Schizosaccharomyces pombe: one gene and its partners. The gene in region 2 interacts genetically with the main gene of each other region. Each region holds a gene or a part of one and is shown on either strand. Other genes may lie near its edges.

What was found. Genes that interact genetically often act in the same process or in processes that back each other up.
Region 1: of atf1 (region 2) and tup11, changing one suppresses a phenotype caused by changing the other (phenotypic suppression), as found in Schizosaccharomyces pombe (2 studies listed by BioGRID).
Region 3: of atf1 (region 2) and tup12, changing one suppresses a phenotype caused by changing the other (phenotypic suppression), as found in Schizosaccharomyces pombe (2 studies listed by BioGRID).

Annotation. Positions count from the first base shown.
Region 1 is NC_003424.3:296,626-305,067, forward strand, and holds tup11 (transcriptional corepressor Tup11), read right to left. Parts: upstream 5,172-8,442; 5' UTR 5,087-5,171; coding exon 4,963-5,086; intron 4,896-4,962; coding exon 4,811-4,895; intron 4,787-4,810; exon of another isoform or gene 4,639-4,786; coding exon 3,003-4,638; 3' UTR 2,653-3,002; downstream 1-2,652. Other genes in the region: SPOM_SPAC18B11.11 (GTPase-activating protein), read right to left, coding at 1-2,161; SPOM_SPAC18B11.09C (serine O-acetyltransferase activity), read left to right, coding at 6,536-6,606, 6,709-7,015, 7,091-7,168, 7,227-7,394; protein pat10, read left to right, coding at 7,838-7,910, 8,049-8,106, 8,146-8,235, 8,294-8,330, 8,375-8,404.
Region 2 is NC_003423.3:1,544,320-1,553,916, reverse strand, and holds atf1 (Atf-CREB family transcription factor Atf1), read right to left. Parts: upstream 7,701-9,597; 5' UTR 7,453-7,700; exon of another isoform or gene 7,057-7,452; intron 6,598-7,056; 5' UTR 6,257-6,597; coding exon 4,556-6,256; 3' UTR 4,055-4,555; downstream 1-4,054. Other genes in the region: plasma membrane OPT oligopeptide transmembrane transporter family Isp4, read left to right, coding at 1,126-3,483; contractile ring-membrane anchor Fic1, read left to right, coding at 9,151-9,198, 9,252-9,597.
Region 3 is NC_003424.3:371,664-380,074, reverse strand, and holds tup12 (transcriptional corepressor Tup12), read left to right. Parts: upstream 1-2,937; 5' UTR 2,938-2,958; coding exon 2,959-3,082; intron 3,083-3,143; coding exon 3,144-3,231; intron 3,232-3,628; coding exon 3,629-3,981; intron 3,982-4,244; coding exon 4,245-5,392; 3' UTR 5,393-5,759; downstream 5,760-8,411. Other genes in the region: gluconate transmembrane transporter inducer Gti1, read left to right, coding at 1-1,883; Rheb GAP, tuberin Tsc2, read left to right, coding at 6,111-8,411. UniProt on the Schizosaccharomyces pombe protein: Transcriptional repressor.

The DNA.
Region 1 (8,442 bases), on a different chromosome or scaffold from region 2:
CTTCAACAGTTTTTGTAAACATCTTTGTGTTTCGAAGCTGATTAGTAAAATTAATCAATATGTATTGAACAACTTTCCAATCTGTTTCATGGGTAACAATATACATAACATTTTTTACCCATTCATTAATCGGCAAACTCATTAAATCCTTTGACAAAGTAGCTGAGGTATTCACCTTCAGGGGAAACTTTTGAAAAACTGGAGAAAACGACAAATCTCTGTCCTTTACTTTATTGTCCCGACAGCGTTGAGCTTCTTCAGATATAAAAGGGTTATGCCATTGCGTACTATATACAGATATTAACTCTAACTGAGCGGGAGACAAGTTAACAAAACAATAGTCATTAGTGTTTATTCGTAGTTGTAATAATAACTTCAATACTGGAATTCGAAAAGTACGTCGAATTTTGAAATCACACGAAATTTCGACCAACCCATCGTAAAGCACTGATTTAAATTCGGGTAGCAAAACATAATAAAATGTTAAGCTTACTATTGCCTGAATAGATCTAAGTTGTAAATCCCCATTACTGCTGTTATGAGCATAAAAGCATAATGAGTCTTTCACCTCGTGAAATACATTCGATGGATATATCCAAGATAAATCACAAACTAAGGAAATAACTTCATCAATTATAACTTCGGAACTAGATTTATCCAAACTTTTCACTAAGGGACAAAGCATTCGAGCATACACTTCAGGGCGAAGTTCAACTGGACAAGCAAATAGAACTTTTCTAAAGAGACCAATTAAGTAGACATGGAAATCCAAAGAAAAACTAGTATCAAAATAAGATTTAAGTAGAATTGTTTGATCCTCAAGCCATCCTTCCGAATATGGCAACTGTGATCGTAAATCAAGAACAGTAAACAACTTTTGGCTAAGTGTAGGGGTTAAATATGAAAAATTAATTTTCAGGAACTCATGAAACTTCTCTAGAACAAAATGATTAGAGTCTGGTTTTAAAATTTCGTTAAATAAAAGAAGATGTTGTAATTGATACGATGCAATAGACTCAATTATATTAGGCTCAATGTGCTGCCAAGTTCCAGGTCGGTAATTGAGAGATTTAGGAAGTGATGAAGATATTTCAACAAGCAAATCTAAAAGGCTGATCCATTCATCTGCATAAAGCACTTCAACAAAAGAACGGCGCTCCAAAGCATTATATAAAGAACGAGTGGTTTCTAAAGCTATTCGACTAGATTTATTCTTTAAGGATCTTTGAAGGAATCCAAGCAGCATTCCTCTAGTGCAATACACTGATCTAGGGATATCGGTAAAGAGAGCACTCACGATTTGAATACCACCCATAATCGCTATATAAGAACCTTCATCTGTCTCTTCCATTATCCGTTTTAGGGAATTAAGTGCTTCGTACTTGGTCGCTGTCTTCAACAGTTTCTCAACAATCTGCTGAGCTGATTGTGAGCTTGCGACTAAGCCAAATTTTGCTCGACATACTACTTCAACAATAGAATACAAAACAGCGGAAGATATGCGACCATAGGATATAATACAATTTAATAACGAAAAAACTAATGCAATGTCTTCTTCATCGGTGGTGCTTTTTGAGACCCACACACAATTCGCTAGCATAGAAGAAACCTCCATTTCATCAAATAAATTAAAGCCCACCCTGAACATATTCGTAAGCAAGAGAATTATCTGACGAAAACAACGGGTGTAATTTCTCAATTCAGCACTTCCTTTGAAGGATTTTCTCGACTGAGCTCGCATATCATCAATAATCGTAAATAAATCAGTCAACCATTCAGACAAAACTTTAAGTATGTCATTTGAAAAAGACTCAGTTCTTTCGCCTTGGGATGTAATAACAATCAAGGCGTCTACAGTAGCAGGATAGTATTCAGAATTCGGAACCTTTGACAGCTCGTTGAATAATAGTGCACGGTCATCGGAAGACATTTCTTTATGCTTTTCAGCTGCATGAGTCCATAAGGAAATAGTGGCTGCCAGTATGTTTCCGTGAACTTTATTTTCAATAATGTCTTTAGTGGAATCAACAAGTTTTTGTAGGATTACATTTTTACAAAACTGCTCATTGTTGATGAGCCTTTTTATGCGTTTGTAGCGTTTATCCAATGACTGTTGATTCGATATTTGGGTGAGAATCGTGTCTATATCCAAAGCCTTCATAGCTTAGATATAAATCGATGCAGCAAACAACGACAATTTTTCTTTAACCCAAACGTAATATAGGTCCTGGGTTGGCACCGATTTAAGTATTAAGATTTTAAATATATTTAAAAAGTGCTAAATTAAAGATTTAATGAAGTAAACCCAAATTATAGACTGCTTAAGCCGTGGAGGATTATTATAAACTCCTGAAAAGATAGCCTTAAGAAACGTGCAGATATCGAACTGTAACGGATTGTAAAAGCACACCTCAATATAGCATCGATTAGGATTTATTCAATTTCTATGTTTTAGTCAATAAAATCGAAACAATGAGTCTTCTTCGCGTTGAAGAAGTCAGAAGATGGTTAATACATACATAATTTTAGCGAGTATATGATAAATCTGTTGGTGAATTTCGGAGTCAAGGTGGAGATATGCAAATTACTAAATACAAGAATAACCATTTAAAAAATGTTTAATCAACCACATGTATTTCAAGAATCTACATTGAAAAGTATTAAGTATTATCTCAAGTTATGCAACATTTATCATAGAACTAAAATTAAAAATTAAGGAATTTTTTATTAATTGTTTATTTTTTAAATAAAAAGTGTCTCAGTTAATTTATGAGAGAAGCCATTCTCCAAAATTAGTGACATTAAAAAACTGAGTGATGATTTGTCTATTGTGACCGTAAGTAAAGGAAATAATATTGCAAAAAAAATATGATACAAATTAAGGAAATATACCAGTGTAGTAATAGAGTTTACAAAATTTAGTTTGTAAACTTTGTAACCAAAAATCAATGCGGTTAACTATTTCCGAGAGCAAATAGTTATATGTAAACAGGAACAAAAATTCAAGGAGATGCAGGGTCAATTGACCATATGCGAGCACGTAAATCACCACTTCCCGAAGCAAATTGCCTACCATCTGGGCTAAAGCATACGGAAATAACTGAATTCTTGTGTCCTTGACAAGTGAGATAAGATTGGCCTGTTTGCAAATCCCAGAATTGCATACTTCTATCCTTCGATCCGCTTAATCCCCAACGGCTGTCGGGTGAAACAGCTACTGAAAGAACAAAATCAGTATGTCCTGTATAGGTGGCTTTGCAAATACCTTCAGGCTTAATAGCTGAAAGGCCAACTGAACGAGTTGCTTGTAATTCCCAGACTTTGATAGTCTTATCAAGACTTCCACTAAGAAGAATGCTGCTGTCGGGCGAAAAGGCAATAGAATAAACACTCTCCTTATGACCTTCCAATCGTTCAACCAAAGTACCCGACACAGACCATACTCGAATTATCTGATCTAGACTACCAACTGCAATGAATTGATCATTTGGAGAGATGGCTATTGCCGTCACACCATTCTCAATTTCTAACTTTAAAATACATTGACCTGTCTCCACATCCCAGAGTCGTGCAGTTCGATCGCCACTACCAGAGACGATGAATCGCCCATTATGGCTAAAATCTAAGGAATAGATATCTTGTTCATGACCTGAAAATACGTAACGAACTTTTTGAGTTGAGAGATCCCAGAGTTTTATTTGACGATCTTCTGTTCCCGTGACTAAATACTTACCATCAGGGCTGAAAGCAATGGTTCTCACATACAAATCACGGGAAGGATCAGGTGATTCTTCATGCAAAGTAAAAAGTTTTTTGCCAGTCTGAACATCAAAGACATTAGCGGCCTGGTTACAGCCAGTTGCTAAATACTTGCCATTGTTACTAAACTTAACGCAGCAAACAACACTGGGATGCTCTAGTGTGTGCACGAGATTAATATTAAAAACCCTTTTGCATGCTGGGTTATAAGTGACGTACCAACTCTGAGAAGTTGTCTTTCTAGCAGCTTCTGTATCTGAAACTGGAGCAATCTGTTCTCTTCCCTGATATTCTCCATCAGGACCCGCTTGGGATATAGAACCAGCATTCGCAGAAGCAGTCATAGAAGGTTCAGCCGAAGGAGTTGCTTTGGTAGGAATACGCGGTGGCTGGACATTCACAGCAGGTTTTGAAGTAGCACTTGGATTATAATAATTGGAAACACCAGGCAATTGAGGATTTGGTTGTTGAGAAACCTGATTTGCTCCGTAATTAACAGGAGGGATATATAAAGGTGTAGTACTAGGTAAATTGGATGTAGATATCGCGGGATTTTGAGAAGCAATTCCCTGATTAAAATTTTGCCCGCTAGAAGCCTCTACTGAAGGAGGAATTGGAGGCATCAATACTTCAGCAACATTATTTTGAGGATAAGCTGATTGGTGAATTGGAGGGATTTGCTGAAAGGCAGGTAGATGGTTACTTGGAGGCTGAGAAGTAGATTTGGTTTGAGAGGGATGTTCCTGATCAATATGGGTAACTTGATTATTAGAAGCGGCAAGTTCAGATCTTTCTCCACGATTTCTATAACTTGCGGTATTCGCTTCGACACCTAATTCTTCAAGCTCTCGCTTCAACTTGTTGATATCTTTTTCGTACCTATAAATGTTAGTAAATTGGTGAAGACAGATGTTATAAAGGTTTTTTTTTTTTTACTTCAAGCATATAAATCTCGAGCGACACGTATGCTATTATAAAATAATGATGAATTTCACAGAAAAGAAGTAGATACTATATAATCCCTCGATACCTTTAACATATAAAAACTTACGTTTCTCTAATAGATTTTTGTTTTTCATACATATCATCCACGGTTTTTCGGAACGCTTCAATTTCTTGAATTTGAGATTGTATCACTGCAATAGAACAGAATGTTAGTTTCCAAAAAATAGCTAATTTAATTTATTTTATTCAAACACGTACTAGAAGATTCATAGTCGTTTCCGCGCGCCTTGGACGCGAAGCTATGATGAGCCAAAGCATTGTATTCAGCCTTCAACGCATCCAGCATTTCTTGAACTTTCGTGGCATCCTCCACTGACGCCATTTTTTTTTTCAGTCAGACTTATTGCAAAAACTGAATCCGATTGATATACGCCCTTTTACAACAATAGCAACACTTGAATTGTGGTACAAGAATAAACTTGTGTTCTTGAACGTTTGTAGCAGCACTTTTATCGAGCGGCTCCTTGTGCTGCGCTAATCTTTAAATAGAGAATGTGGTGCTACATATTTTTGGTTGAGCAAGTATCACAAAATTAGTATGGCGTGTGTGTTGGCAACTTGTCCCAATTATTTTGAAATTCATTTGAATTATAGAGAAAAGCAATTCGAAACCCTTTACTGTTTGATTTTTTGTAGCGTTTATATTATTTTTTTGAATATAGATTTTCTTGCTTTTCAGTTGATGTTTGTTATAAAAAAATAGTTATAACTTTGAAACGTAGTGTAATTCATTTTTTTTTTATTGATGGAAAAATTTGTTAACCGTTTTTATATATCAATATAAAAAAATTAAAATTTGTGTTTAATCAATTTATTATCTGATCCTTGTTTAATTAGATTGTTTACCGACCTTTGTAAGACATTATTACAGTGAGTTTTATCTTGATAAGTATTAATTAAAAGTTATGATAGTATTTAACCCGTAAATTCACATTTCATTTGCTAATGACTCAGTTAATCATAAGTGACATTATTTGTTTAATGATGCGAAATTTGACGCACTTTACTGATATTAAAACATTGTTGGTTGTCTTAAAGATGCTTTTTTCATATAATCTAGTTATCATGAAGAAGGATGAAAAAATCCCATAGTTGAAATTTATTAACACTAAAGCAAAATGTTTAAGCGCAGCAAACCGAAGCCGTCAGAAATTGAGCATTTAATCTGACACGATATGCCATTTACACTTCAAGGGCGATTAATAAATACACTTTGGATTTATTTTTAAATCATATTTATTGCTTATTTACTTATCAATTTTTGTTTGATGTACTATTTAAGTTGTTTTGAATTTTTTTTTTATATGACATTAGTTTGGGATTACTACCCAGTTTAATCAGTTTAATGATACAGGAGGAAAGCAAGATTAAAAAAGGGACGGACAACGTTCATTGCATATCTTGTTATTGCTTGTCAGTTTACGGCCCTCAGCGTTTGTTAAGCTACACTAACTATTTACTTGTAACTTGATAAATTTTGGTATGCTGGTGGTAATACGAGTAGGGGCCAGACATAAAGCAATGCGACAATTAATGATATGTTGCATAGTGGGGCATAATGTAGTGTAACAGCTGACGCTATATATCATCGAGATGTTTTTACTTACGTTTTACAAACTATTTCACTAAAAAGTTTCCGTATAGTTTTATCAGCAATTTGTTAATATTGATATCAATACATATATATATATATATATAAGTCTATTTATACATCGATAACTCTACTAGTCCCATTGTCAATGCTAGTGAATATACTTGTTTTCCGACAGAAATGACTCGTACTCGTGTACAAAAAATGATACCGAAAACCATTGAATACCAAAAAATGATATCTGGTCAACCGTAAGGCTAATGCTTAAAACTTGTCGAGCTAATATATCATCTTCGTTGACATGTTTGAAGTCACATTGAACGCAGGGAGATATTCTAATTACTAAATAACAGGTACAAGGCTTACGACGAGGAGTTGACTCAAGCGAGATGTAATGCTAAAAAATTAATGCGAAGGTTTAATGACACTATGGGAGATTTGGAAAATGTAGGCCCAGCAGAATTGATTAAAAGACGAGCTGAACTGTTGGCTGAAGTTTTTGTATTTGACGAATCTTCAGCACCAGAGATTGAGCCACCTATGGCTTTTGATTACGGATTTAACGTTCATTTTGGAAAAAAATTCTTTGCAAATTATAATTGTACATTTCTAGATGTTGCCATAATTACTATTGGTAATAATGTAATGCTAGGCCCCAATGTATGTTTATATATATATATAGTTACTTTCAAGTCATTCATTCAAAAAATAAATATACTAATGGTGTCTTTCCAGGTTCAACTATGTACAGCAACACATCCCTTGGATTTTAAAGCAAGGAACTCCGGAATTGAATTTGGTTTACCAATTAACGTATGCGTTAGTCCAGTTATTGAAACATCTTACAACTAACAAACAAAATTTTATCAAGATTCAGGACAATGTTTGGATTGGTATGGGAGTTATAGTTCTCCCAGGTGTTACTATCGGGGAAGGCAGTGTAATTGGAGCGGGTGCTGTTGTTACAAAAGACATCCCACCTAATACGTTGGCTGTAGGATCACCTGCCAAACCTATTCGTAAAATTGAAAACGAGTGAACGAGTGTAATTTTTTTTTTTATTATTTCATCTAACGATTAAATGCTCTTTGAACTTCTTAAGTTCACCTGGCTTGGTTCCTAAATTTTTAAAATAGTATAAATAATATTATATTATGTTTGAGCTTTAAATTGTTATATAGAAGACTTAGAATGCTAAAAGAAATCCATTTCTCACTCGCCAAGTAGGATCAGTTTCCTCCTATGACTTGCTAAAGCCCCCACGTGGTACTGCAATCGATTTTAATTCTAATGCTTAGCCAAGTCTAAAATAGTTGAAATTCTTAGTGGGATAAGAACTCTTAACCCCCACGATATATTTGAATGCTAAATAACCTAACCTAAAACCATTTTACACATTTTATTACTAACTTCATTATATTCTTGTAGAGGAACCATCCCATTCACCAGTTCTGAAGTCTCGACAACGAAAATTCATAAAATATGGCGCCTGCAGAACTTAAACGACCTGATTTAATCGTTCCCTACAAAGCTAGAGTCAAAGCAAATGAAGAAGGTAAAGTAGAAAGCACTTTCAAATTGAACCCAATCGTGAGTTACGCTGATTTAATCGCTCAAGCTTTAGTTCATTGTGGAATATTTTAAATCCTTTCTTTCGTCAAATAATTTATTAAGTTTGCTAACCCTATTATAGTTGGCTTGAGTTTGGTAAGCACAGCCACGTGTATGGCTGCTTTATTTCTTCGTTTCAAGTATGTAAGATATTTTAGGATTTTCATGTTAACGAGAAGATTAATTGCATGGGTTGCTTTTATCCTAACCTTTTCAAATTTACTGAACGCAAATACGTCTCCCAGCTCATCTCCGACTTCAATGGCTTTGTAAGTAATCCTAATTCATTGCATTAATGTAGTTCTATGGATGTTAACATTTGATCAGTATGGGTATCGCGGCTCTTGTGTCAACATATTTACCGGTAAGTTGAATTTTTATATTTACTTTGTCGATTAACTTGTGCAGCAATTTTTAAATACTCCAAACAAAACTTAGTAATTTTTAAGTCAGTGAATTAATAAGAGTATTAAGCT
Region 2 (9,597 bases):
AAACAAATCCTCTTTTTTTTCCTTTTCTTTTTTTTTTCTTTTCTTTTCTTCAGCTTTACATCCCTTTGAATCCTCATCATCTGTGCTTTTTTCAATTCCGTTTTGCTTTGTCAATTCTGCTTTGCTTTGCTTATCAGTTCTACTTTGTCGATTGTGCTTTCTTCCTCTCTCTCCATCGTCAAGCTTTGCCGCCCCTGACCCCTTCATGACAACAGTACGACTTTTATCAAGATAGAATAGAACTGACTGGTCATCTCCTGCATCCCATTTATGTAATAAGGACTTTATCTCTGATTCATATTTCACACACAATGAGCGAAAGGGTTGGTTATCATGGAAGGAAGAAAGAGCAATGAATTGATTACGAGTGGAAAAAATCAAATGCCGCACCTTTTTTCCCTTTTATATATAGAGGTGAAAATCCCTCCATGTGTCAACTCAAAATAAAAGTTGAACAAATTAACATCGATTATTGTTTGCACGTTTTTCGGCAGCTAAATCCCCCCGCCCGCTCCAAGATACTAAAAGTTTGGAAACCATTGTAACATAAAAAGAAAAGGAAAGTTAAAGAAAAAACAAAAACTAAATTGTTATTGTTGCTGTACTAGACTATACTCTACTCTACTTTACTATACTATACTATACTATTCTATTCTAGACTATACTATTTTTGTACAGTCTATAAAAACCATCTTGTATACATTTTTATCTCTACATACGTGGACGTTGATTCCATAAAAACATAAAGGTGTTTTTCTTCCTTCACGAATTTTATTGATGAAGAAGTATTAAACACTTTGCTCTTTTTCCAAATCCCATCCATTGCTCGTTTCTTCAATCACCGTGAAGTTTCGTAGTGATTTTTTTGTGATTTCTTTATCGTATCGCACTGTTCGTTTCGTTTCGTTTCATAAATACATCATTTTCGTTTCGTCTCTCGTCAATTCTATTTGGAAAATCTTGTTTCCTCTCTTTCGAAAACTAAGCAAAAACTTTTTCTAGTATTTCTCTCTCTCAACCATTTTTGGTTTGTTTCTTTTTATTTTTTTGGTGAATCAAGTTTGACTTTTTTTTTTTCTCTCTCTCTCTCTCTCTCTCTCTTGATTCTCCTCCCTTCTTCCCATAATGATCGGTTCCATCAATGAGTCTCCCATCGAGGAGCATATGAATGACTCCCCCTCTACAAAGGAAAAGGCCGACTCCGTCGACATCTCTGATTACATCGTTAGCCATTCCGATGACAGTTTATCCAAAGACATCAAGAAAGACACAAAGTCCTTTCTCGATGTCGAACATGGTGAAATTAGTACGGTTGACGAGTTTGAGGAAGACTCTCCTTATCCAGAGGTTCGTGCCGCCGTCCCTCCTACCGATGATCCAAGTATGCCATGCAACACCATTCGCATGTGGACCATTGGTCTCATCTATTCCACCGTTGGTGCCGCCGTCAACATGTTCTTTTCCCTTCGAAACCCAACCGTCACTTTGAGTGTTTTGATTTCCGAGCTTCTCGCATACCCAGCATTACAGATTTGGGACTTGATTTTCCCCGATCGCGAATTTCGCATTGGACGTTTAAAGTTTAATTTTAAGCCTGGTCCCTTTAACGTTAAAGAACATGCTCTCATCGTCGTTATGTCGAGTGTATCGTTTGGTAATGCCTACTCCACCGATATCATCCTCGCCCAACGTGTACACTACAAACAGCGCTTCGGCTTTGGCTACGAAATCTGTTTGACTTTGGCCACTCAACTTATCGGATACGGATTGGCTGGTTTATCCAGAAGACTTTTGGTCCGTCCTGCTAGTATGTTGTGGCCTGTGAATCTCGTTCAATGCACCTTGATCAAGACTTTACATCGCAAAGACTTACGAAACGCCGTTGCCAATGGCTGGAGAATTTCCCCCTTCCGTTTCTTTTTGTACGTTTTTATTGCTTCATTCATTTGGAATTGGTTCCCTTCCTACATTTTCCAAGCCCTTTCCCTATTTGCTTGGGTCACTTGGATTCGTCCTAATAGTCCAACTGTAAATCAAATCTTTGGTGAATCCACCGGAATCTCCATCCTTCCCATGACTTTTGATTGGAATCAAATTTCCGCATACATTCTTTCCCCCCTCATGGCTCCTGCCGATGCTTTGATGAACATTCTTTTGGGCGTCATTCTATTCTTTTGGATCGTCACTCCAGCCCTTAACTTTACCAACACGTGGTATGGTGATTACCTACCGATCAGTAGTTCTGGTATTATCGATCACTTTGGTAATAGCTATAACGTTACTCGCATCCTCACCAAGGATGCTACGTTTGATTTGGATGCCTATCAAAACTATTCTCCCATTTTCATGTCCACCACCTACGCTTTGGCATTTGGCCTTTCCTTCGCTTCCATCACTTCTGTCATTTTCCACGTGATCCTATACCATGGAAAAGAGATCTACGACAGGTTACGCGATCCACCCGCACCTGATATCCATGAAAAACTCATGAAAGCCTATGATGAAGTTCCCTTCTATTGGTATTTGAGTGTTTTCTTGGCCTTTTTCGGCATGATGATGGGTACTATTTATGGTTGGAAAACGGAAACCCCTTGGTGGGTTATCATTGTCGGTGTCATTTTCTCTGCTGTATGGTTCATTCCAATTGGCATCGTTCAAGCTATAACCAACATCCAGCTAGGCTTGAATGTATTCACCGAGTTTATCGTTGGTTATATGTATCCTGGTCGTCCTTTGGCCATGATGATTTTCAAGACTGTCGGTTATATTACAATGACTCAGGGATTGGCTTTCGCTGCCGATCTGAAGTTTGGTCATTACATGAAGCTTCCTCCCAGAATCATGTTTTACACCCAAATGATTGCCACCATATGGTCTTGCTTTGTTCAGATCGGCGTATTGGATTGGGCTTTGGGTAATATTGATAATGTTTGCCAGGCCGATCAACCTGATAATTACACTTGTCCTAATGCAACTGTCTTTTTTAATTCTTCCGTTATTTGGGGTGTAATTGGTCCCAAGAGAATGTTTTCTGGAAAAAACACCTATACGGGATTGCAGTACTTCTGGCTCGCTGGCGTGCTGGGTACAATTTTGTTCTGGGCTCTATGGAAGAAATGGCCTCAAAAATGGTGGGGTCAATTGAATGGCCCGCTAATTTTTGGAGGTACTGGTTATATTCCCCCAGCTACTCCTGTAAACTATCTGGCTTGGTCTGGAATTGGTCTGTTCTTCAATTATTATCTGAAGAAGATATTCGCAGACTGGTGGCAGAAATACAATTTCACGCTTTCTGCTGCTCTTGATACTGGTACGCAGTTGTCGGTCATTATACTTTTCTTTTGCTTACAGTTGCCTATGGTTAATTTCCCAGATTGGTGGGGTAATGATGGTGCCTTTAATACGCTGGATGCTACAGGTGCCGCTGTTAGGAAACTCGTCAATGAGTCAGCAGGTGAATTCTTTGGTCCCGCCGAATGGTAAAATCAATGCTGTATTTTTTTCTTTGTTTTTTTTTTCCATCTTTTAACAAATGATAAAAATTATAAGCATTGATTTGTATACTAAAGCTTCGTGAATTAATTATGTCTACACTTTCTTTTAGTGTTTGAATATTCAACATCTATGCAATATATATTTTTGGATGATTGATTGTTGTCTATTTTTTTTTACGTTGCATGATTAGATTTGTGTTTAATCAATCGTTCAACAAGTTTATCTCATGTTTATTAAGCTTTCTAATTTGTTATTTTTTATTAATTGTTGTTAGAATTGAATAGTTCGTTCTAAATTGAAACAAACGTTTGCATTTTTATATACGTTTTGTAATGTGAACATCAGTAATTTCATTTTCACTTTTTGTATACATCCTCAATGTAGCGACAAACACTCACTAAGTAAAGTAAATATTGTGAAGGTGCAAATTTTAACTTGATTTCATCTTATGAATGCATGTTCGTATGATAATAGATATGTAAATGACCGATGACAAACCTATTCATTAACTTGATTTATATACTGTTCACGATATTAATACTCCCACAATACACTAAGACTTGTTGATTTCTTACATTAAAGGAAAACAGTAATCAGTTGTTATTAAAAACACTGCTGATTCTTACTAAATAATATAGTTTTAATTATTAAATCAAATCAATCTCATAAGAATGAGTTATAAGTAGTATTCTATAACTCTGCCACATGTGATGAATGGTAAACATTAAGAAAGCGTGTAGTTTTTGTTGTCCAAACGATATTATAGTGAACTAGACACGACAGACAAATTTTATCACTTCATAAAGTACTAAAAGTATGCATGCGGGACGGCGTTCAGTGCAAAATTAAAACAGTAATGGAAAACGGGAAGAAATATAAAAAGAGAAGCCTAAAGATTTTTTAATGTAAAATAAACATATATAATTTCACATCCATAACATAGCTAAATGCATGGAAAAGGGCGTTACAACCCTCAACGGAGGGAAAGTCAAAGGGAAGTAAAAACGTTATTCTTCATTACAACCATCACAGACTGAGACCTTTTCAGATCAAAAACAGTCTAGTACCCTAAATTGATTCTTTGAGCAAGATCACCGCTTCCGATGACACTTGTTGCAACAGCAGCCGAATTACTCTTGGCCACTGGGCAGTCTTTATGAGCAATCAATAAGGTCTTCAAACTCACAATTTCCTCACGTAATGCACTGACTTGTGCACTTAAAATTTCATTTTCATTACCATAAAATTCAACCTTCGCTTGAAGATTAGAAAGCCATTGTTTTTTACGCTGTCTACATTTAAGAGCAGCTTGTCGATTGCGTTCCAGGAAGCTTTTACGTTTCTCTTCATCAGTTTCGTTTTTGGAATTCCGGCGAGATGAACCTTTGCTATACGAAGTGCCGTTGGCAGATTCACTAGAAGCCTTACCATTAATGGAAGAAGTGGGTGAGGATTGATTATTGGCATTACTAGAAGGCTCTTGCGAAGTGGAATAGTCAGTACCATTTTCGAGTTTGACCGGCATCGAATTTGCCGTTGGCATATCAGAATTAGAAGTTTTTTGCGGTAGATTTGTGGATCCATTCTCGGCATTTTGTCCGGAAAAGTCCGTGGTTTGGCGTAATGTTAATGAAGGGTCGGCAGGATTAACTGTATCGCCGTAAACAGATGGCATGCCGTTAAATTGTTGCGACCCCATAAAGTACATAGGCTGTTGCTGAGTACGAGATGCTTGAGGGTTCATTGTACCTGTAACAGCTTGGGGGTTAGTATTTTGAGTAAAAGATGGCCGGATAGAGTCGGGGAAAGTCTGTTGCTGAGTTTGCTTCAGGAGGTTGTTGGCAGTGGTGGATGCTGCTTGATCGTTTTCAGAGGAGATGGGTTGCTGAAGCTTTTGCTGCTGATCGGGAACCTGGGAGAGTAAGCATAACCCATGAACCGCAGCATTGGCACCGAAATAATCAGACTGGTCACCATTCGTCCCATTTACAACAGGCGGTTTACCATCCCTTGGGGTAAAACGATATTGATCAGGAAATTGAGAATCAAACGTATGAAACCCTAATAAATTGGCAGTACCAGGTGAAGGAGCGGGAAATCCAGCTCCAGTAGGGGTTAAAAGAGATCGGAAGGGTTCATTAACACCAGGAGTAAATCCAGTTCCACTAGAAAATCTAGCTGCTGCAGATGCATCTGAAGGATTGTTTAGGTAGTCAGGACGAAGAGTAGCATCATAAATAGCAGGAGAAAGGGGATTATGCATTGTACCACGAGTAAAAGCAGACCAAGCAGGATAGCCCAACGGCGAGGCAATACCTGGAGCTCCACTTAAGATATCAGGTGATGCTATGGAAGAAACAGGAGGTAAGAGAGTTCGCGCAAACGCAGGAGGCACACCTGAAGGAATGTTACTAAGGCTAGGATTACGATTAAGAGAAGGATTTCCTTGTCCAACCGAAGCGGTAGAGCCAAATGAATGCTCAAAGGGGTTGGGTTCGTAATCCAGCTTCAAGGAGCCTACGAAAGACGGAGTTACACCATCGGATTGGTCAGCTGGATTCGCATTAGCGACAGATCCGGCCCCTCCATTAGGAGCGATAGTTGAAGACTGTTGATTCTGCTGAGAATTGTTGCTTGGTGGTGCAAATGAATCAGATTGATTGTTTTCCGGAACCTGAGTACTGGAAGCAGTAGCATTACCATTTGAAACAGCGGCAACAGATGCTGGTTCTGTGGAAGTATTGACGGGAGACGGGGACATAATTGAAGAATTTATGCTTTAACACTTGACAAAATGTATTAAGAGATGACGTTAAAAATCACACACGCTTAAATAACGAAAATAAATAATTTAGATATATAGATGAACCCGTTTAAAGAGAAGATCGAAAATAGTTTTGTCAAAACTAAATAAAAAAACAACTACAAGAAATTAATGGCTTTCCAAATTTGACAAGACAGAAGTAATAACGGCTGATAAAGCAGAAAAAATAGAAACTATATTGTTTCAATAAAAAAGAAAAGAAAAAAAAAGGAGGAGGAGATTAAGGAGATAAAAATACAACTTTCTCGAAAAAAAAAGGGAAAACCGCGACGGAGGCTCTAGACGAGAATTAGTTAGATGTCTGTACAGGCAAAGCTAGAAGACTAGATATGCAAGATTGTGAAGGAAGATATTCTACAAAGGGTAAAAAAAAACTCGCAAAGGTAATAGTCAAGTTTGTAAAAGAACATGTCCAAATAAAATAACAAAGAAACTAATAAAGAATTACAAAAGATAAAAGGGATGTTCCTACTCTTTGTTCTTTTCCTTTTCTTCGTTCGATCGTTTTTGTTAGGGTGTGTTGATTTGGATTATATGAATGTGGAGGCCTTTTTTGAATGAGTTTCAGAACTTAATGTGAGAGAGTACAGTCAAGCGTAGAGTAATAAAGAGATTCGTACTTCAACAGCAAATACACCTGCTAAAACACCCGTTTTTCTTTTTTGGAAATTTTTTTGCCAAAAACGAGACAAAACGGGTTTTCCGCTCTTCTAGCTTCCTTTCTACTCTTGTTCTCTTCCCGTGTGCGTTTATTCACTTCCGAGAAATCATTCATCAAAAGTTGCCACCACATAGATCCCAGTTCAGTCAAGGCAATAGTAACCTACAATGGTAACAAGTAAAATTTTCTAGCACAACAACACCAAAAAAAAATTTCCAAACCCTCAAAAAACGAAGGAATTCCAAACACATTTTACGTTTCCTGTAAACTAACAACCCCATAACGATCAGTGTTATTGATAAGAAAGCGTCATACTCGTCATGTTTAGTAGGGTCAATGACGATAGGAGCAAATTTTCAAATTTTCATAAAAATTCGGTTTTCAACACAACCCGTCACGTTTTTATCACGCTCTTCCAATTTTACAGCCTTTTACATAATCAAACTTCACAATTGCATGTATAAACACATACCTATTTGACTTAATCAACCAAACGTACTAGTAGCAGGTCGTCGTCATGAACCAGAGAATTCGTAATTCAGATCCAACTAAGCGATGACTACTGTATAAATGATGAAAAGACTCGGTCAACTGTCCAAACTGAAATTTACAAACAGAAAAATGGTTTTCGTCAATTCAATCGTTCAAAAAGTGCTCAAAGTAAACTTTTTAGCAATTTCCTAAGTAGTTTCTTTCTTCTTATGTTGTAAGTAAAGGGTAAGTTGTAAATTCCTAGTGCCACACTTCCACCTGTTTCAAACAGATGACGTCATTGCATCACTTTGCATGATTGAACTTAACCAATCACGTGCGGGGCTCTGAAGAAGGGTAACAAGGAAATGGGTCTGGAATAAACCGAGCAAGACGATACTTAAAGTACTGCTGTGTAGTTTTGTATTTTGTGTTATCGTATCGTTAAGAAACGTATCGATAGTTTGGGGAATGGGAAAGGATGGACGGAAAGTAGGATGTTATTGGTATATCATGGAGTGCGTGCTTTTTAAGCAAATATGATGTTAGCAATATGTAGTAAAAATGGTGAGTTTGTGTATAGTGCCATGAATCTTATTTCACTCTTAACTCAAGCTTATTTTATATTAACCGATGAATGAATAAATAATATATCTTTGATGAAGCTAAATCGTTGCGTGTATTTCTGATATTATGTTGTATGTAGGTAAGTGTTTTAGGTTGGACTTCTGCGTGTTTGTAAGATGTGTACGTACGCTGAGTAATTAGCAATGTATGAATAGATCCAGCAGTTCCAGAAGACCTACGAAAAAATAAAATAAAATAAAATAAAATAAAGTAAAAAATAAAATTAAAATAAAAATAAAGATAGGTTATACGCAGAAATAATATACAAGTTTCAAATATTATGAGTACTTGTCACGAATTCAATTATGGAGAATTCTGTACAGTAGGATCTTTCAAAAAGTCTTTACATAGACTTAGATTGTATATATAACATACCAACCCTTACAACATTTAAATAACAGTTTTAATAGCTAATTCATTTGTTTTACAATGAAATCTTTTGCTTACATTTTCGGGAACTTATTAGTCAATACGGGTTGGCATTTTGTTGGGATTACGGATCCGAAAACTACCCAAAAGATAAGCAAAGAAAATGAAGTTTTTTAAAAACAAAATAAATTTGTATTCGTGAAACATAAAAGAATAAAAAAATTAAGTTAGAAACATTTTATGCAAATCATTCCATTCAATTAGCAATTGTGATGGAATTGGTTATACCAATAGATATTTTACACTCATTTTAAAACAATTAAAATTAAGTGAATATATTTGTGTGGTGTGTACTGAGTCAATCATTAATGCAATTAGTTATATTAATAAAGTTCTTTTTGTTTGCGATAACTTTCGTCTCTCTTTTTTTTTTTTTTTTTTTGTTAATTTTTAATTTTTTTTAACACGGCATCTTTCTTCACGAATTTCCTAACTGGAGCCATCAATATCGTAGCGTACACAAATTTCCGTTAAAGCATTTTAAATTGCAGTAAGCTACGTTAAATGAATGAACGAAAGCTAACCCCCGTTATCGGAGACAAACCAGCCCCCTCCTACAGAAGTTGCGCTGCACTGCTTAAAATCCGCACTCGAATTGTATAAAGTAGCTTTTTTGTTTATAACCCGTTTCTCCATCTACCATATGTCAAAGAATCCTCTTGGAACGTTGGTTGTCCGAATATGGAAAGCTGTAAGTCTTAAAAGATGAAGATTTGTTTTGTAAAACTAACGTGTCTTCTTTAGAAAAATTTACCAAACAAGGCTCTAGTGGGCAAACAAAGCCCTTACTGCGTTTGCAGAGTTGGTGAGGTGGTAAAACGTACGCAAACGGATAAGAGAAGCGGTCAAGAACCATCGTGGAATGCGGTACTGGAGTTTAACATTCCCAGTGAATCTTATCATATTATGAAAATAACCGTTTTTCACGAGGGATTTCGAAAGCATCCACACTTGATTGGTGATACTGTATTGTCTTTTGAGAAAGCGATGAAAGAAGAGTTACAAAGTGAATGGTATGAACTAAAAAATGAGTTCCAATTTGCTGGCGAGCTATCTGTGCAATTCAAGTTTATCCCCACTGATCCTCTAT
Region 3 (8,411 bases), on a different chromosome or scaffold from region 2:
TTTCCGATCGTAAGCGAAGCTCAAAGTCTCGCTCCGACAGCGACGAAGAGGAGGTTTCCGCTTTTACCGTTTCTGTTCCTGTCGACGTTGACGTTGCTTCCCACGTCAATATTAGTTCTCCGTCTGCTCCTTCGCTTAGTGACAACCTTTTTCCAGGTTCTTCTTTTTCTGCCTCTTCTCAGCAGAATCCTTCCTCCCCTGGCTCCAATGACATCAAATCCGAATTTGCCGCTGTTAAAAATGAATATGTGCTTTCCCCTACTAGTCCCACCACAAGTGCTGCGTTCCCGTCTTCCTTTTCTTCGTTGCCCCTTGTTTCCTCCAAACCGACTGGTACCCCCTTTGTCCCCAAGTCTCCCCCGTCCTCATCTCCATCCACCACCAATGTTTCCAATGCTTCCACTTCTTCCGCGCCCATAAATCCCAGGGCCCCTCAGACCAGGCGTGAATCCATTTCTTCCACTTCATCCATCCATTACTGTTCCTCCTCTTCCCTTTCCTATCTCCATGATACCGAAAGAGCCTTGGTGGGCTCACTCACCGACTCTTACGGTTTTAAAAAGAGTGGCCTGATTAAAAAAACTATCTCTTTAATGATTGATGGTCGGCTTCACCATCTCATATCTTATTATACCCCAGAAGACGTGCTCAATGGGAAACTTCAAACGCCCAGCTCGTTCAATTTGTTTCAACAGTTAACCATTTCAAAAGATCTATTAGAGTACAAAAGCTTCCGTATTCCTCCTTTGGTTGAGGCTGCGGAATCTGAAAAGATTTCTCAATTGAGTACGCTAGAAAAGCGAACTCTTCCGTCTTTTCCTTATAACCCTTTCTTCTCTTCCTCCACTGCTGAGATTGATCCTTACCATTTTCAGGGTCTTACTCTTTCTACCTCTCCGATTTCTGGTGTAGAGTCCTCTTCTCTCTCTTCTGCAATATCTAGGAATCAGTCTAATCTTTCATCTTTTCAACAACAGCAGCAATTTTCGGCTTTGCAGTCAATTTCAAACAATGCCTTAAATGAAAATATTGAGCAGCCTCCGATAAAGATGGCTGCTCGTCATTCCTACCCAAACTTTTTACAGACTCTTCCACAGTATATGAATGATGTTTATAATCCATCCGGATTAGCCTTTAACCCTGTGAATCCCAATGCTAATAATTCATTTGTTAATTTGAATTTAATTCAATTCACATCACCATCTCAAGCTCTGTTCGATTACGGAGAAGGTCCTTATGTCGACCAAAAATCACAGTATTTGCAGCCAAAACAGCCGTCTTCTAACACTGATTCAATTGACCAATCTTCCTATAACATGTCTCTTGCTGCTTCCAAACAATTTTTAACGTCTGACACGCAACCCGATGTCAATGAAAATTACTCTTTTATTTCCAATTCTATCCCAAAAAACTTATCCACCTCTTGGAACCAGAATATGGGTTATCATGTAACTAATTCAAACTCAGAACTGGCCTCTCAAAACCCGCTTTATGCTCAACAGGCCGTGTCAATGGAGAGTATGGGCAATGCCATTCAGTCAAGCGCTTATTCCGCTATGTCGACTCCGCATGGAGGTCATTATGACCACTATGCCGCCACTGCGAAAGGTAAAAATCCTTTAGCTGCTGAAAACCACGCTTCTGGTGGTCGTTTACCCAAGGTTCCAATTCCTCCACTCTCGAATATGCGTCGAGGATCTGTTCCTATCATACCTTCATCTGCTTCTTTACCAATGCGTACTTCGGGAAATCGATTCTGTCATTATTCTTCATTAAATGGAAATCACAATCGAATTTCGGCACGTACGAATCCTTATCCCATTAACAACCAAACGATGCTTTTTACTGAACCACTTTCAAAAGAACGCGGCTCCTTGTCATGATTACAAAAAAATTCTTACGAATATTAAGTTTTGTGAGGTTTTTTTTCTTTTTTTTTTTTAAATGTCTTAACGTTATGTATTAATCCTTTTATCCAACTCTTGTTATATGTGCCATATATAAGTAAAAACATTCCATTCAAGTAATGTTTTTTTTATGTGTTTACTGCACAGCTCAATATCTGTTTTTGTACTATTTGCTTTACATTCTGTTCATGTTAGTGGTAGTTTTCAGATGCTCTAGGATAGCTTTTTCCACCAGCAATAACTTATTCTTCAAAGCGGCTTTAAAATTGAAGTTTTTGCGAGTAGCATACTAAATGAATATTTATGCCAAGCAAACAAACCCTTTCAATAAATCTAGGAAGTGTATCATAGTAAATTAAGTCAATGGGCTGAGGAGCAGGCCGTCTATGGCGTATGAAAATTCGAGACTAGTTTCTGGAAATAGCATATAGTGTTTTCAAAGTTATTCACTATCAAGATGAAATTAAATTACGTTAACTTCTATGGAATTCATCCTTAAAGTAAGTTTGTTTCAAAATACCCATAAAATAGTTTTCTTGATTGACTTTAAGAATTCATATTAGGATTATGACATCTACACTTTTGTAAAACTAAACTTCCAATAAAAACCAATACCAAATAATGTTTTATTACCAATTGTATCAAAACGCTTCATATTCTTCCCAAAAAAAAAAAAAAAGGATCTTCTATCTAAAGATTTTCAAGGTTTTAGAGTTAAGATATTTCACGAACTAATTCAAAAAGGGTTTCAATCGATTAACGTTAAAAAATATGTTTTACGAGGTTTCATCACAAATTAATGATTTTACATTTTCCAACTGCGGCAAGTTGAATGAACAGCCAAATTACTAATTCAACAATATTGTCTCGCTAAGCATAAGTGAAATTGTCTTTCCTGACATGTTAATCTCAACATAGTTTGCTTACTTTAGCTTCGAAGCCGAGAAGGTTTTACCGAAATTAACGAATGTTATTTCTCGTTATTTCTCAAACAACATCATTCATGATTACTGTCCGCCAATTCACTTTTACCATCTTCAAGTTTCAATTTATGGCGACGTCCAATGTATCATCACGTGTAAATGAGCTTTTAGAAGCGGTTAAAAAGGAATTTGAAGATATTTGTCAAAAAACTAAAACCGTTGAAGCTCAAAAGGATGATTTTGAATATAAAGGTATCTTATACAAGAATTTGCTGACAAATTTGCGGTACAAATCTAACACTTCTTAAATTAGCAATGATATCTGCACAAATTAATGAAATGGCGCTCATGAAACAAACCGTTATGGATTTGGAGATGCAGCAGTCTAAAGTGAAGGATCGGTATGTCAATTTTCCTAATACACGCTTGGCGAGAAGGTTTGTTATATTAGTACAAGGTTATGCAATTATTGTGAGTGTTGTAGAGTCTTACAAAAGCGATTCCTCTCTAAATATTTATACAATTTACGGTCGTTGACGATAAATCTTTAAAGATGCTAAATAATGGTGGCTCCTTTGATGGGAGTAAATTCTATTAAGTAATCTTTTCATATTTTTACTCCGATGAAGGGTATTTCGTTTTTTACTCAGTATTTGGATGTTTATCACTGTTCGAAGATTCTCTGTCCTTTTCACACTTTTGTCAGCACCAGCATGCCTTCTGCTATGTGAACATTTATTCTCAATTTTATATTATATTTTCTCGAAAGCTATCTTTCTTGTTACTAACTCTCTCTAGTTACGAAGAAGAAATCACCTCCTTAAAAGCTCAACTGGAAGCTAGACGCAAAGAAATTGCTTCTGGCGTCGTCCCACAGTCTTCGAAAACTAAACACGGGCGCAATAGCGTTTCTTTTGGAAAATATGGAAATGCGGGCCCTTTTAACTCGGACAACTCCTCGAAACCTTTGATACTTAATAACGGTTCTTCTGGAGGAACTCCTAAAAATCTTCGATCACCTGCCATTGATTCAGATGGTACTGTTTTAGCTCCTATTCAGACCTCGAACGTAGATCTTGGTTCACAATATTATTCCAGTCCTCATGTACGCCCTGCTGTGGGTGCAACCATGGCTGGATCTGCTATGCGAAGTAAGTTCAAGCTTGCATTGTAGCTTTTGGCAACAGCATTTGTTTTTTGACTTGATCAAGTTTATAGATACTTTTTGTCTTTCACTTTATTGTTTGCATCTGGTATGTTGTACACCGTATGTTCCCAGACAATTTTTTAATGCTGTCATTAATTCGTTTGAATTCCTTGCGGCTTTTGTTCATTTTTTGTAAAACAAAATACTATTGCCGAAACTATTTTGCTTCCTCGTTTTAATTTGGATTTTCTTACTTACCATTCACAGCATTTCCTTCCAATTTACCGCTCGGACATCCTCCACCTCCATCTGACTCAGCTAATTCTTCCGTCACACCTATCGCTGCTCCTTTGGTTGTAAACGGAAAAGTCTCAGGTAATCCTCCTTATCCTGCTGAAATTATTCCGACATCCAATGTGCCTAATAGAGAGGAGAAAGATTGGACTGTCACTAGCAATGTACCTAACAAAGAACCCCCGATCTCTGTTCAACTACTTCATACACTGGAACACACAAGCGTTATTTGTTATGTAAGGTTTAGTGCCGATGGAAAATTTTTGGCTACGGGTTGTAACAGAGCAGCTATGGTTTTTAATGTGGAGACCGGTAAATTAATTACGCTTCTGCAGGAGGAATCTTCGAAGCGTGAAGGTGATTTATATGTTCGCAGTGTAGCATTTAGTCCTGATGGTAAATACCTTGCTACTGGTGTCGAAGATCAACAAATCAGAATATGGGACATCGCTCAAAAACGTGTTTATCGTCTACTGACTGGGCATGAGCAAGAAATTTATTCCCTTGATTTTAGCAAAGATGGAAAAACATTGGTTTCTGGTAGTGGAGATAGAACTGTTTGTCTTTGGGATGTTGAAGCTGGCGAGCAAAAACTAATTTTGCATACCGATGATGGTGTTACTACAGTAATGTTTTCTCCCGACGGTCAATTTATTGCTGCAGGTTCTTTAGATAAGGTAATTAGGATTTGGACATCGTCCGGAACTTTAGTAGAGCAGCTTCATGGTCATGAAGAGAGTGTTTACAGCGTTGCCTTCTCTCCTGACGGAAAATACCTGGTTAGTGGAAGTTTGGATAACACAATTAAGTTATGGGAGTTGCAATGCGTCTCCAACGTTGCACCCAGCATGTATAAGGAAGGCGGTATTTGCAAGCAAACTTTTACTGGACATAAAGATTTTATTCTAAGTGTCACTGTCTCTCCGGATGGAAAATGGATTATTAGCGGCTCGAAAGACCGAACCATCCAATTTTGGTCCCCCGATTCTCCTCATTCTCAGTTAACTCTCCAGGGACACAATAACTCAGTAATATCGGTTGCTGTTAGCCCGAATGGCCATTGCTTTGCTACTGGTAGTGGTGACTTACGAGCAAGAATTTGGTCTTATGAGGATCTGTAAGAACTAGCGATGTTTCATTTATAGCATTGAATGACAATGTCCGAAACCTACTTAATTTTTTAATTCTTCATTTGCCAATAATGCCCATTGACCATTGTGAGACTCGCTTCTTGGCAAGTCTTTTTTCCTTTATTTTATAAAAATTCATAACCGATTTTGTAACCCTTCAAACTTGCGGCTTATTTTGGTCGGAATTTTTCTATCAAGTCAAGCCGACCAGATGTTTTTGCTAATTCTTGAATCATTTCAATTCCCTTTTTTTAATTTTTGATACTTCCATACAATCCCCGACAACCGAAACTCTGATTTTATCCATAGTATTTCATTAACTATTAAATCCCAACTTTTGTATATATTTAATAGACCCTTCAAGTTATGTATATGTTTGCGCGACCTAGCTACTTAGCAATTGGTTTTTACGGTTAAATAACTTCATATATTTTTTGAATTTTGAATGTCGAATACTAAGTTTCTATTTATTAGTTTTAATGTCGTTTCAACCTATTCCTCTTAGATAAGGTAATGCTTCCCCTAATTCATAGCAGCCTGTCAGCTCTCCTCCCCACCCCTACCAGTGTAGCTAATACTTGAAATCAACTTCCATGCTCATAGTTTATGATCTTGAATATTCCATTAAGTTAAGAGTTCAGATTTGCTTTATGTGGTTATTCTGCTGAAGGTCCTAATTTATTGACGTTGAAAAATAAAGGCCACATAGATGAACAATAAATCACTTTTGGATCTTTCTAGTGAGCCTGCTATCAAAGATACAGACATTCTATCATATTTTGATGCTAACCTTCCTTTTAAAAAAAGGCATCAGATTGTAAGGAGTATTTACCATGGCTTAAAATACTATATATATTCATCGACTTCTATCATTCAAGTATGGCAAAATATTCAGGATTTTATCTCCACCAAAAACGATAATGCTGCTTTTCGGGAGCTTGTATACAATCTTATGATGAGATATGTTTCTACACAAAAGCATCTCTCGATTATAGAGCGCCACACTTTTTTTCAAACTATTGAGAAAGATCCTTTTCAAGATATTGCTGAATTACAGCTTCGGCTTAAGAGTTTGAGTGTTTTAACGGATGAAGGGCACAAAATCTCCGGTATTGAGAATAGGGTTGGTCCTTTGTTGAGTGCATGGTTTAACCAGTATCTTCAATGGCAATCTCAAGCAACTGAATTGCAAGGCAAAGACGCAGATTCAAAGCTCGTACATTTGCTTTTTTTTAAAAGCCTTTTTAAGTTTTCTACCAACTTAGTAAAATTTCAGTGGTTCCTAGTGCCTGAACCTCAAATGCTACAGCTTGTTAATTCCGTGGTACAAATATGTAATCACGCTCGCTTAGAAGATGTGGTTACTGAGGTTCTGATGTTTTTTGATTCCATGATTCGCTACTCGGTTATTCCAAAAGCTTCACTGTATGATACTGTTCTTATTTTGTGTAGCACATACATCAGCACCTACTCATATTCGAAACTTGCACAATCTGTTATATTTAATCTTATTAGTAGTCCCGTGTCAAATCTGGCTTTTGAAAACGTATTTAATATACTTCAATACAATCGCTCGAATGTTAATGCTGTACGGGGCGCTGTGCGTTTAATGCGTTTTCTCATGCTGCAAGAAGTGAAAAATGATGCAATAGCTTCTATAACTTTAAGTTCAAGTATTGAATTTACTGAGTTTCCATTAGGATTTAATGAGAATGTTGATTTTGAGATCCTTGGTACTGTGTATCTTTTTTTACGTACACCTTCTATATTAAATCGCCTTAATTTTTTGGATTGGCATCGGATTCTTAATATTTTAATGTATTGTTCACAATATCTACCTTTGAAAGCTAGTACATCGAAGGAAGCATTTTCGAAGACTGCAGCATTTGCTAATATATATGATCGTGTTTTGGATTTTTTGGATTTCGAAGCCTTGATTCCACTGCTGCAACAATTTCAGGTTAAGCTGGTATTCTTTTTGAAGGATGTTCTTCCAGTGTTAAAGCCGAAAATTCGAAAAAAACTTTTACGTCTTTTTGAGACTTACAATCTTATATTTCCTTGCAATCAATATTGGGTATTCAACCTTGAATTTTTACTTGGTATTTACCAATGCAAAACATTTGATCTTGAAGATCGAGCTCTTTTATTTAAGCTTGTGGAAGATGCTTGCTCTGTTGCTGATGAAAATTCGGCCCCCATTTTGTGTTCGAAATTCCTTTTTCCAGTAATTGAAAGCTTTTCTAAGGAATCTGATGATTGTGTTGTTTCTCCTGTATATAATATGTTGTTTTTCTTGTCTGTCAATTTTCAAAACCCGGGACTTAAGGATTGTATCGATCATATTTTTCAACAGCTAATTTCCGACACGAGCTCTGTTACTGTTCGCAGACTTGCCACGAGTACATTAATTCGTCTTTTTTATTATTATTATGACTTAAGGGATGCTGTGCCTATTCAAGAAACACTGGCTAAAATGTTAGAAATCTTGGAGACTCCATCTTTCCCTTTTGTTTCTCGAATGTTGTGTTTACAATTCTTTCTTCGATTTCGAGCAAATGGGACGTCTATTTATATATGTGAGAATATAGATTTGAATGAACCCTTCAAAGTCTTAAACGTTGATTCAGAACTGATTCCTGCAGTTTATCCCATTTCTGATTCTTTTGTTAACTCAGCAACAGTAGAAAAGCATATTTGGGAACGAAAAGAAAACGATTTGATTAAAATTTCAAATCATTCTACAGAATATGGCAAGGACTTTGTAACGTTCCCAACGTCTTCCTTGTTAAGGTTTTATCGAAAATCCATGGCTACAGAGTCTAACTGGACTATCCTTATGTTCATGATTACCCACCTTGCTGATCAAATAAGTAATAGGAGTATGTTTATCGGCGCATTAGAAGAAATCTATAATTTACTTGATTTTATGTGTGATATCGTTTTTGAAAGAGTTTCTATATCTGCTGAAATTCCTTCTAATATTCGTAAGGCCAACATCATGATACCA